3 linked regions of the Rattus norvegicus genome follow. The protein of the gene in region 3 purifies or fractionates together with the protein of the main gene of each other region. This does not show direct contact. Links are inferred from orthologs where the notes say so. Each region holds a gene or a part of one and is shown on either strand. Other genes may lie near its edges.

What was found.
Region 1: the proteins of Pml (region 3) and Zmym2 purify together in Homo sapiens (affinity purification with western blotting; 3 studies listed by BioGRID, with this or other methods). This does not show direct contact. The link is inferred for Rattus norvegicus from reciprocal best matches to the Homo sapiens genes PML and ZMYM2.
Region 2: the proteins of Pml (region 3) and Zfyve9 purify together in Homo sapiens (affinity purification with western blotting; 3 studies listed by BioGRID and IntAct, with this or other methods). This does not show direct contact. The link is inferred for Rattus norvegicus from reciprocal best matches to the Homo sapiens genes PML and ZFYVE9.

Annotation. Positions count from the first base shown.
Region 1 is NC_086033.1:35,206,716-35,210,901, reverse strand, and holds part of Zmym2 (zinc finger MYM-type protein 2), read right to left. Parts: intron 2,159-4,186; coding exon 2,033-2,158; intron 573-2,032; coding exon 478-572; intron 1-477. UniProt on the Homo sapiens protein: Involved in the negative regulation of transcription.
Region 2 is NC_086023.1:128,660,423-128,664,608, reverse strand, and holds part of Zfyve9 (zinc finger FYVE domain-containing protein 9), read left to right. Parts: intron 1-1,680; coding exon 1,681-1,803; intron 1,804-4,186. UniProt on the Homo sapiens protein: Early endosomal protein that functions to recruit SMAD2/SMAD3 to intracellular membranes and to the TGF-beta receptor.
Region 3 is NC_086026.1:67,534,263-67,538,448, forward strand, and holds part of Pml (PML nuclear body scaffold), read right to left. Parts: intron 2,771-4,186; coding exon 2,633-2,770; intron 2,215-2,632; coding exon 1,956-2,214; intron 1,535-1,955; coding exon 1,482-1,534; intron 1-1,481.

The sequences.
Region 1 (4,186 bases), on a different chromosome or scaffold from region 3:
AGTTTATACAGAGCTGGGAATCAAATCCAGGGCCTCCAGTCCAGGGCCTCCTACACAGTAGGCAAACATTCTACCAACTGAGCTGCATCCCTAGTTCCCCAAATGTCTTCCTCTCTGTGTTGGCATGCTTAAAAATAAACTACATCTCTCTTCATTAATTAACCTCATCCAAACTGATGAGAAATTTAATCCACTGAAAATCACCAACCCCTTCTCCTTTCTCCTTTCCATTGAGACAAATGCAGTGGTTATAGCTATGTGCCACCATGCTCACTCAGAAAATAATCTTTGTTATTGTCTGAGTTGAATTTTCTTTTTATGTCAACTATTTTCCATTTTGACATTATATTAAGATGAATTTAATATCTATCTCCCCATATTGTCAGGCCCAAGATATCCCCAAAGCATCTTTCTCTGACATGCTGCTACAGCGATGTTAAATGAATAAAAAATATAAAACATTAACAAATTCTATACCTTTTTTTTAGATCGAGGTCTGGGCTGCTCCTCATATTCTTCCCCAAAAACTGGTGGTAATAAAAACTCATTTTCCATATCAAGTTCCTCTGCAGCTGACAAATTAGAAAATATCTTACTTCAAATATAACAGTACAAGATTCTGCTACATAAACACGGCCAATAAAGAGTCCCGTGACATGAAGGATCATCCAGACATGGGGTAAGTCTCAGCGAGGCGAGGCACAGGGAGACTCATACTTAACATGGTGTTGAGTTTTGCTAAACTATTTGATAAACTAAAAACCAAATGTAGCAAGTATCAATCAGTACAGAAGCATCACAGAACTGTATGATACTAGAAAAAGGAAAACAACTATAAAACTAGTTAGAAGATCTAAAAGTGCCAATCTTGTTCAATCTCTTGTCTTTTTCGTAGAATGCTTTACACTTCATTCAGTAGGAATTTATAAATTAGGGGAAAATGAGAACAGGAACACATTTGTCTGTCTGTGGCCTGGAACCTACTTTACAGAGTCTACACTTCACAACCCTCCTACCTTAGCAACAGGACTGCAGGAATGTACTATCACAAGGCTTTCAAACACTTGTCTTTTTTGAGACGGACCCTTATTAATTAAATCAGACTGACCTCACAACCTGACAGTAGCTGCCCTTAACTTAAGTTCTGCCCCCGTCTCCCAGGGCTGGGACTGTAGAGCATGCCAAGCTATCCGGACGGACGAGACGGAAGACGTCTACACTTCATCTGCACTAACCAGCAGCGAAAGGGAGCGTGTCGCTCTCTTTTTTTATTTTAAAGATTTACTTTATGTATGAGACGGAAGACGTCTACACTTCATCTGCACTAACCAGCAGCGAAAGGGAGCGTGTCGCTCTCTTTTTTTATTTTAAAGATTTACTTTATGTATGAGTGCACTGCCACTGTCCTCAGACACACCAGAAGAGGGCATCAGATCTGATTACAGATGGTTGTGAGCCACCATGTGGTTGCTGGGATTTGAACTCAGGACCTCTGGAAGAGCAGTCAGTGCTCTTAACCACTGAGCCATCTCTCCAGCCCTGAGCATACATCTGTTAAAGAAGTAAATGTATTTCTTTTCCTTTAAATATGAATTTAACTTTCAAGAACATTAAGAAAAATGCTACCAAGCTATACATTTGACACGTACCTATAATCCCAGCATGAGAGGCTGGGAGAAGGCATGCTTTGAGTTGGGGGCCAGTCTGAATTATATAGCAAAACCCTATCATGATTCCTACCTCTACGCTAATACTATCAATACCTCTGAATTGAAAAAATACAAGTATTGTATTCTTCTCTAGTTTCTAAAGTTCCTGCAATTAATTCAGTTTTATTTGGAGAAATAAAAAAGAAAAGGAGGAAGAATGTAGCTAAGTGGAAAAGTACATGCAGCATCCTCCACTACAAAGGACACACGGAAAAAAGAAACAATTATGAGGATAAGAGGTAATTTTACTAACACTGTTGATCAATTACCTTAAATACAACCATATAACTTGATTTAATAATGATAAAGTAGTATTTAAGTACCTCTGGGGAAATCTATTTCAATATCCAAATCTGGTTCATATGGTACATCGGGCATGTTGGATTGTATATCTGAGTCAGAGTTCTTTGTAAGATCTGAGCCAATTATGTCTGTCTCAATAATTACACCTGTAACCAAGCAATAATATCATTAGAAATCAAATTAAAAAAAAAAAACTTAATAGTATCTGTACTTAAGCTCCCAAAGGAAAAAGTAGAAAAGTTAATATAAAACAACTCCCGTGTGTGTGTGTGTGTGTGTGTGTGTGTGTGTGTGTGTGTGTGTGTGTGTGTGTGTGTGTGTGGTGGGGGTGGGGAGGACACATACATTACTTGCCAGTGTGATGTAAGTGCTTCCAGACAGGAATGCATGTGGAGACCAGAGGCTGACCAGAGTCCTGTGTTTTTCTTTGTTTGATGGATCCATCTTCCCTTCCTAATCTGTCAATTCACACTAGGGTTAGACACAAGCCACTGTGCCTGATCTTTTAAATAGGTTCGGAGGATCCAAATTCAGGTTCTCATCTCATTCTTATATGGCAGGCACTTTACTGAGTGGGCCATTTCCCCATGTCAATATTCATAAAACAATTCTTTATCAGAAATAAACTTATGGAAATAAACAACTATGGTTTTCAAACAGTATTTTTGAATTTTGACCAAGTTTACACATACTTAGTATATGCTTGTTAATAGCTACCATATGTTTCGATGAACTGTTTAACTGTTTTGCCGTAGTTATAAATGCATTCTATCTAATATATACTAGAATGACAATAGGTCTCCAGACAGAAATTAAGACAAACGTATATAATTAGGAAACAAAGGCGTTCACAAACCCACCTAACTCTTCTCTGAAGGATTCAGACATGGCTTCCCATTCTTTTTCCCATGAGGTATGTAGTGTCATATACTGGACACACCTAGAACTCACGTTCCAACACCTGAGCGCAGGGACTAAGTGGGTGTCTGTATTTTATTCTTAATTAAAAATGAACACCACACTAGGTGGTGGTGGCACATGCCTCTAACCCCAGCACTTGGGAAGTAGAGACAAAGGGATCTCTATGAGATCCAGGCCAGCCTAGTCTACAGCACTAATTCCAGGACAGCCAAGATTAGACAAAGAAACCCTGTCTCAAAAAACAAACAAACAAACAAACAACAACAAAAATCATACCACTAAGTACAATCCACTTCATTTGACAACCTCTGAGAATACTGCAAAACAACTTCTACACTTTTCTTCTGGTATAAAAGCAATTAGACAGTTCAGGACTAAAAATGGATTCTAAATATTACCAGAAGACTACGGATAGGAAGGAATAAATGTTCAAAAGGACAGAGTTGCCCAACAAAACACTCATATTAAATCACACCACTATGTAGCAGTGTCCTAAAAGAAAGTAGGAAAAATTCTGGTTTAGATAAATATAATATAAATATAATAAAGCAAATTATATTTGATTAGTATAAAAAATAAAATATTACTAGAAATAACGATCACAAAATAAAATCTTAGAAACCTAAGAAAAATAACTGAACTGAATTCAAATCCTATTACTATTAAAACAAAACAAAATAAAAAAATAGGGAGTGAGTGAATTAGAAGCAATGGCTGCTCTTGCAAAGGACCAAAGTTCAGTTCCCAGCCCTTACATGGTGGCTCATAATCTATAACTCCATTTTCAAAGGATATAATGCTCTATCTTCTGAACTCCACAAGTGCCAGGCATACACACATGCAACTCTCAAACACATAAAGAAATCTTACCAAAACAAACAAACAAACAAACCCACCCAACTTTTGTTTCTAAGAAAAGGTAATCTTATCTACTTCAGAAGATGACACTGAAGACTTCTTGAGGCCAAGAGTTTATTGCCTCGGACACATTCTAAGTCTCCATCTCAAAATAAAACAAAATATTCCACTAGAGATCAAGCTTAGCATTAGAGCAAACCTGGTTCAAGTTGGAGTGTGTATTCCTCTTTATTAAAAAATTGTGTTGTTTTATGTGTACAGGTATTGTACATGTATGTATATCTGTGCACCACTTGCATGTCTTATGCCTGTGAAGGCCAGAAGAGGGCAGGGGAATCTCTGGAACTGGAATTAAAGAAAGATATGTGGGTGCTGGGAACCAGATCCAGGTCTTC
Region 2 (4,186 bases), on a different chromosome or scaffold from region 3:
ATTACTTTTCTCTTTTCTCTGGAAGAGTCGTGTATGCCAGTCTTTTTGAAGCTGTTTAGCCTTTCAGTTATCTCTGTCTTTTCCTAGAATGCCTGCAAAGTAACACTTTGCTTTTTTTCTCTATTCTGTTATTCTTTGTGTGTATAAACACTTTTCTCATTTGTTGTGGATAAACTAAGTCTGATGCTTTCACTTTGACCATGAAGTCATTAGGTCTTGATTCATGTTTCTAAACGCTGCTTCTTCCTTGGGCTCATCCCATGAAAGTTATGTGTTATACCTAATCGGCATAGAAAACTCTGTTCTGGGCCGACATGACCACAGGTCATGTTTCCCTATGTGAGGAGTGTGACGTGTGTTCCTATCCTGCCATCTCAGGAGTGTGCCCACTGCGTCTCCAGATCTCAGACCCACTCTACCTTAGCAAGCTTCCTGGCATGGTTTACCCTCCCATGGACGTGTGCCACCACACCCAGCTATTTTAATAAGTCATAGTTTAATAAAGAATTATATAGTTTATTATTAAAAGAAAGTCATATTGCTAGGCTCTGTTTTGATATTATAATCTCTTCACTTGAATTTTGCATTTTTTATTTTACTAGGTTAACTTATTTTAAAAAATTAAGTCACTTCATATTTTTCTTTCAAACATATTTTGATTGATAGAAAGGTCAAAAAATCAATTTTTATTTCTTTTTTTTTTAAGATTTATTTTATTTATATGAATACACTGTAGCTGTCTTTAGACACACCAGAAGAGGGCATCAGATCCCATTACAGATGGTTGTGGGCCACCATGTGGTTGCTGGGATTTGAACTCAGGACCTCTGGAAGAGCAGTCAGTGCTCTTAACCGCTGAGCCATCTCTCCAGCCCAATTTTTATTTCTTTTAATCAGTGAAAAATGGTATCATTTTTTTCCTCTTGGCTATCCCTTTATGATATACTTTATGAGAACAGCACTGAAATTTCAATTTTTAATTTCTTTTCTTTATTTTTAAGTTAGAGTCTCTGATTATTGGTCATGATTTTGACTTTATACTGAAATGAACACCATTAAGAATGAAGTGGTCAAGTAGTACAGTATGTGCTTGCAGGACTAGGGGAGGAGTCTTGTCTGTGTTCACTGTCTCAGGTGTGGCTTACTAATGATTTCAGTGATCTGTATGTAAGTTCTCAGATTTAGAGAAATTATTTCAAGAAAACAGTAAATTATATTTTTTAGTGAGTTAAAAAAAAGTCTAATGCTTCTTAAGGGTCAAAAATATTAAACAGTATAAAAGCATAGAATTAAAAATCAGGCTCCCTCTGTTCCAATTTCTTGACATCCTTTCCATAGGAAGTCTTAATATATAATCACCTTGTAATATATTTTTGATTATTTTAAAGGTTGGTCTTAAAGCATTTGTTCTGTGACATTTCTGTTAAAATAGTTGAATCTTTTTGTTAAATAAAGATGTAGAGCAGATGTGAAACAAACCGTTTTGTGGGGAGGTTTATATAGGACAGCCTTATTTTCATTCTAACCGTGGCAAAAGAAGCACTATTACCATGCAGGGAGTGTGGGACAAACCCTGACCTGTGCAACCCTTTCCTGTAACTAGTCATCACATTCTACACCAGATTTCTTACTCAGTTTGTCCCTTTAGTCAATCCATTACAATGTTTTTCTCTCTTTCAGATTATGCTGTGGAAGAGAAACCATCACAGATTTCAGTCATGCAGCAACTGGAGGATGGTGGCCCTGACCCACTTGTGTTTGTTTTAAATGCAAATTTATTGTCAATGGTTAAAATTGTAAATTGTAAGTTAGAATTTTTTAATTAAAAATAATTTCAACACATACTTTTTAGAGCCTTTATAATCTTCACACAAAAATATTTTAATATATAATCACATCCTACTGGAAGCAGTTCTGAGAGAGTTGGTTCTTATAAAATAGACAGTGGTGATGCTAACTGAACCTCTTACCTTTGGTCACAGAGATGAGACTGGTGAATTCTCCCTGGAGGGAAGTCAAATAAGTTTTGCAGTGATATGGGGATGTTAAGTCACAACTAATGACTAGAATAATTGTGAGTAAGTTATCCAGGGCAGCAAACAGTAGTTCTTAGTAGATCTTAAGATCCAGAAGCTTTAATCATCTTATGTGCAGAATATTATGTGGTAAAAAATGTAAACTACATAATATATACTCAAACTGCGAAACTAACTTATCAGAAGAAACAAATTCTTGGTGCTGGAAGCATGGGCATCAGTGTAAGAAAGAAGACAGTGAATTAAATCTTGATTCTTTCTGGTATGTATTAGAAAGTAAGAGGCAGCTTGCAGGGAATGTCCCCCAGTTTCCACTTGACCTTAGAAACCAGAAACAGCTCTGCACTGCTTCTCTAGACATCCTCCATTGATGAAGTGGAGGTCTCAGCCTCAGTCATTAATTAACTGCACCTTTATATATTTGGCCTATTGTTACTGTTATCCACGTTCCACCCCAGCTCATATCATGTATTGTTTGCTTATGTGATATTTCAGTGTACTACATCCAGTTTATAAGTTACAATTAGAAATTAGCTAACCTCTCCATGTGAGGACAGAAGTCATCCACTGCTTTTACCTAGTACAGCATTTTGCCATAGAAGTTACTCATTAAATGATTGTGGAACAAAAAAGAGAGAAATTAACTAGCCTATAGTTCTGAAGCACCTTAAAATAGTGGGCTAATTGAAGGGCTGGCAACTGTCTTAGTTGGTAAAGTGTTTGCCATGCAAGCAGGAAAACCTGGGTTTGATCCCGGCACCCACAGTAAAAAAAACAAAAACAAAAACAAAACTCAACCAACCAACAAACAGACAAAACAAAGAGGAGGAGGAAGAAGAGACCAGGTGAACCAGCATGTGTCTGCAATCCCAACATTGAAGAAGCAGATATGGGAATTTGAGGATTTCTGACCGTCCACTCCACCCAAATTGTCAAGCTTTATGTTCACTGAGAGAACCTGTCTCAGGAAATAAGGGGGAAAGCAATTGAAGAAACCCACCATCTCTGTGGCACATGGACATGTGTATATGTGTGCATGAATAGGACTAGGTACTTCCTAATTAGGTACCCAAAGTAGTGATTTCCATTCAAAAAGAAAAGGATCTTTTATTAGTTTTGAAACACATAGTGGTCTTATTCATTCTCTTATTTGATTTCTTTGGAAATCCTGTTGTTAGATTGCAAACAATAATGTGTCGAGGATGGACTGATATTGCTGTATGTACAAAAAAAAATATCTTTTTCTTGTGGATTTTTTTAACCCTTTCTAACCTAAAGTGAAAAAGTAAAAGTAGTCTTGACAAGCTATACTTTGTATAGTGTACAACCAAATCAAGTTGCCTTCTGATTATCTAGTATTTTCTTTCTCTCAGAAAGGATTGTAATTAAGCTAGCTAGTACATAAGAATGTATTTTCTTTTGGCCAGAACCTGAACTCAAAGCTAAAATACCGAGTTTTATTCTTTTTGTTCCTAGTCTTACATAAATAATGGTAAAGTGAGTTTTGTGTATGGGTGAGATGTGCATGTAGGTGAACATAGCCACACATGTGCCTATGAAGGCGGAGGCCAGCGGAAGGTCTGTTTGTGTATTGTATTGCTGTCCACCTTTATTTTTTGAGGTGGGGGGGGGAGAAACAGAGACAGACCAAGACCTGGAGCTTACTAGTCATCTACACAGGCTTGGCTCACCAGTGTCCTGGGGCCATCCTGTACTAAGGTGACTGGCAGGTGCCATTGCGTAAGGCCGGCTTCTTATGTGAGTGCTGGGATCTGAACTCCAGTCCTCAAGCTCATACAGCAAGTGCTTTCCTCACTGAGCTGTCTTCTCAACTCCCAGGAAAAGTGGTTTGTTTTTAAATAGTAATATGGAAGACTCTATCTTTGTTGTCTATTTAAGTCTTAAATATATTTTCATTTTTTTATTTCTTTTAACTTCCTTCCAGTTATTTTCCTAAGCATTGAGGAAAAAGCAAACAAAGCATTGCCATGTTTTGTTTTCTACAGTGATTCTTGTTCATGTAGTGACCATTTTAAATTAAAGTTGAATCATATGAACTGACATGATCTTTCTTTTTCTCTCTTTCTTTTTTCTTTTTCTTTTCTTTTGTCTTTTTTGCTGTATTGTAACAGATTTCTTTGCATCCTTTT
Region 3 (4,186 bases):
AGGAGGCCTGTGTCAGGGTACAATACCCCTGGAGGACAGGCTACCAAAGGTGTGATGAAGGCAGGTGGCTCTCCTTGCTTTGTGTGAGAAAATGCAGATCTGAGAACAGCAGCACACTTCTGGCAAGTGGTAGGCTGGCTGGAAGACTCAGTCAGAGCTTGCTCAGTAGGATGATGGGAGGACCAACTCGGTGGGTGGCAGGTACCTTGGTGTAGACTACAGGTTCTGCTGGGGTGGGGGGTCCAACATAGCTGGGAGGGTCTTCAGGTACTTAGCAGGGAGATGTGTGCTGGTAAAGAGGGTTCTGTACACTCTCCAATACAGGATCTCAGACTGTGAGCTTGGGGACCATAGGGACCTCCAGTCTAACCTCTTACTCTTCTCATGCTCTGCTTTCTCTGGACACTTAACAGCCTAGTTTCTGATGACATACATGCCTCCAGGTACAGAACAGTCACTGGTTTCATTATAAGATGCCTTCAAAGAAGTTTTCTAATATGAGGTAAGATCTTGCATAGAGCGTCTCTGGTGGTTTGAATGAGGATGTTCCCCATAAGCTCATATGTTTGAATCCTTGGACTCTAGTCGGTGGAACTGTTTGGAAAGGATTAGGAGGTGTGGCCTTGTTGGAGTTAGGTGGGTCACTGGGAGTGGACTTTGAGGTTTCAAAAGTCTACGTCATTCCCAGTTAGCAGCTCTCTCTGTAACTTGTGTTTGTGGGTCAGACGTGAGTTCTTGGCTCTGGCTCTGGCTCCGGGTCCGGCACCAGCATGATGCCTGTTGCCTGCTGCTAAGCTCCTTGTCATGATGAGCATAGACTGACCCTCTAAAACTACAAAGCCAAACAAGCTCTCTCTACTCTAAGATGCCTTTGCATCGGTGTCTCTCCGCAGCAACAGAAAAGTAAACAAGGCATCTCTTATCCATTGTTTGATACCCATAGGTACACTCTACCTATCACTAACCTTCACTGACCGACTTTGTGGTTGCTTTTCAGTCAGAATCCCTCTACACAGCCCTGGGTTTCCTGGAACTCACTCTATAGACCAGGCTGGCCTTGAACTCGCAGAGATCCATACCTGCCTCTGCTTCCCAAGTGTTGGAATTAAAGGTGTGTGTCACCACGATGCCTGGGAATGAACTCTTGTCCAGCTTTCCTCATGGAGTACTTGGCAGATAGAAAATACACAAGGAAGCTCTAGAGAAGGGCTTTGGATATTACAGAGGATAGCCAAGGCCTGGAGCAAGCAGCCCAGCAAGCATCACAGAGGTGTTCTTGCCTGGTGCAGGAAGAGGACCAGGATGCAATAAGCACGCAGCTAGTGCCTGCAAATGGTCCTGGCTATGACTTAGGCTTTATTGCCTTGCTGGGGAACTTCCCAGCTGCCAGGTGAGCCTGAGAGTCACCTGCTGTGGCTGTGGCCTTTGGGACCTTGAACAAGGGGAGGCAGAAGTCCTAGGCTGAACTCCGAGTTACTCACCAGATTCTCGGCATCTGAGTCCTCTGAGCTGCTGATCACTACGATTCGCTCCTCTGAAATGGACAGGGGGAGGCAGCATTAAATCCTTCCTGGGATGTCCACTGGCTGGGGTAAGACAGCCAGGAGAATCCTTGTAAGCCAATGGGCTGGGGATGATGGATGCCCTGTCCTGTGTGCATTAGGAGGAGATGGAGTGTTTATGTCCCCAGAGTGCAGAGATTGGCACTGGCAGTTTTAGAGGGAAGGAGGCAGAGCTAAGGCCCCTCGGGTGCCTCACACTGGAACCATAGCAAAGTACAGGGTAAACTACGGTGCCATACTCAGTGGCTGCTCAGAGCAACTCAGACACGGGAGTCCTGGTGGCTTTGAGTGTCCAGGTGGGATTGGAATGAGGAGCTGGGGCCTGGGGTGCTCCAGATGTCTGAGGGCAGTATGACGATCCTACACAGGTATTCCCCTGCCTAATCCTCTTACCTGTTTCCCCTGCATCACTGGCCACATGGTTGTTGTTGGGCAGGGGTGTCTCTTTTTCAGGGATGGTGCTCTCAGTGCTGGAAGTCCCATCCGGATGGGGAGGTGAGATGGCCTTGGAAGTGCTGGGCCTAGGCTGCTCAGGGGAGCTTGTCGACAACCTGTCCTCGTTCTCATCCGTGGACTCCATCTTGATAATCTTTCTGCAGCAATCTATGTGGCAGCACTTCCTCTTCATGGGGCTGACTGTCTGAGAGGCCTCCTGAGGAGCGGGGAGTTAGAGAGGTGACTCAGGTGCCTCTGATGTCGCTGGGCTGAGACACTGAACTGAGCACCAGGAGTCTGTGGCACGTTTTCGCTCCCGTTCTTTTGGGCATGCTGAGCACGTGTCTGCAAACAGGAGGCCCTCTCAGGTTGCCATGCACACTGGTCATGGCCGCTGACCAACAGTCTCAGTTGATCGGACTCATAGCTTTGGCTGTCTCAGCATCCCAGCTGGGCTGAGAGTGGCTCAAGCTTATTTCGAGTTTCGGGGGGGGGGGGGCGGCACAGCCCAGAGCAACGGAGAATGTGGAGCAAATAAAGACCTTAGAAAGGCCCAGATTCTTATAAGATTACACCTCACTGTTGGCAGGAGTCTAGGCCTTTTAGATGGAGGCAGGGTTGAATAGGGGGCTTACCTCTCTGTACGTGGGGCCTTGCATAGAGAAGGCATACACTGGTACAGGGTGTGCTCCAGGTACTGATTTTACCATAGCCACAGGTTGGGTCTTAGACAGCTCCATGGCCTGAGCCTGTGCCCTCTGCACTTCCTTGGGCTGTAAAATCAGGTAACAAGGAAGTTAGAAATGACTAGTGACCCTAGGCCTACCACCTGCCTCAGGTTTAAGTAACTTGGTCCCAATCGAAGAGTGCACTGGGACAAGTAGTTCTTCCCAAACCCACCATGATGTCACAGCCTTCTGACCTTGGGTTGCTGGTACCCAGGCACCACTTCAATCTGCATGTGTCCTGACAGGGCAGGAAGCTACCTCAGGGACCACAGTGCCCAGTTCCTCAGAACATGCTTCACAACCAGCCTAGCTTGTGTGCCTCTGGAGACCAGCTGCTTGCTGTTGAAAGTGACACTTCCCTGAGCAGTGATACAGTGGCAGCGGTGAGGAACTCGGAAGCCAGCCTCCAAGGAGCGTGCCTTACCCCTGAGTCTTAACTCTATCGAGCAGCTGATACACAAGCTGGAATTACTTAAAACTCACTGGGCCTCAGTCTCCCTCCATGAAATGGAATAATAACACTCGCTTCATATGGCAATAAGGATGAAATATGCCAAATGCCATCATCGTGCCTAGAAGAGCATCTAGTACTTACAGAGACCCATGAGTGAGGGTGATGAGGATGGCTAGTGAATACTAGTTTGATTACCATCCCATGTCAGACTTGGTGTTCAGGGCTTTGTGTCTCTGTCTCTAAATGAAGCAGGAGCAGCTCCTCAAATAGTGAAAAGGAGCTGGAGAGATGGTTCAGTGGTTAAGAACATTGGCTGCTCTTGCAAAGGAGCTGGGTTCGATTCTCAGAACCCACAGGACAGCTCATAACCATCTTTTACCCCAGGATTAGGGGACCAGACACCCTCTTCTGGTCTCTGCAGGTATTGCATGCATATGGTACACTTAACATGCAAGCAAAACACTCATATACATAAAATAAAAGTGAATAAATCTTCTTTTTTAATGAAAGAATTACCACACGGCTTACCAATTCTACTCCTAGGTACTACCTCAAAAGTATGGAAGTTAGATGTTCAACTGCAAACTGTGTGTGGGGCTGGGCAGGAAGCCCAGTGGTAAAGCACGGCCTCCCACGTTCCAAGGCCCGGATATTCCATCCTCAGAACAGGAGGCAGACAGCTTAACCATCTTATCTTTGCCTTTATGGCTCTGCAGTTGCTGGCGTATAAAAGGCCGGGAACTCCCTGTAGGCAAGGCTGGGTGCCTCTGCTTCTGTTCCCTCAGCACAACACTCACCAGAGTTGAAGAAGCAGAGGGATAGTAAGGTGAATGTGTGTGGAGGGGGCAGTGCTATGTCAACTGGTGCTGCCTCTCCTGACAGCACTGGCTATGCAACCATATTCCAGCCTCACATGACCTTTGCTCCCACACATTGCTACGGACTTCTTTCCTGAGTCCTATCAGCCCGCAAGTGACAACCACGGTGAAAAGGAGGAAGCCCTATGA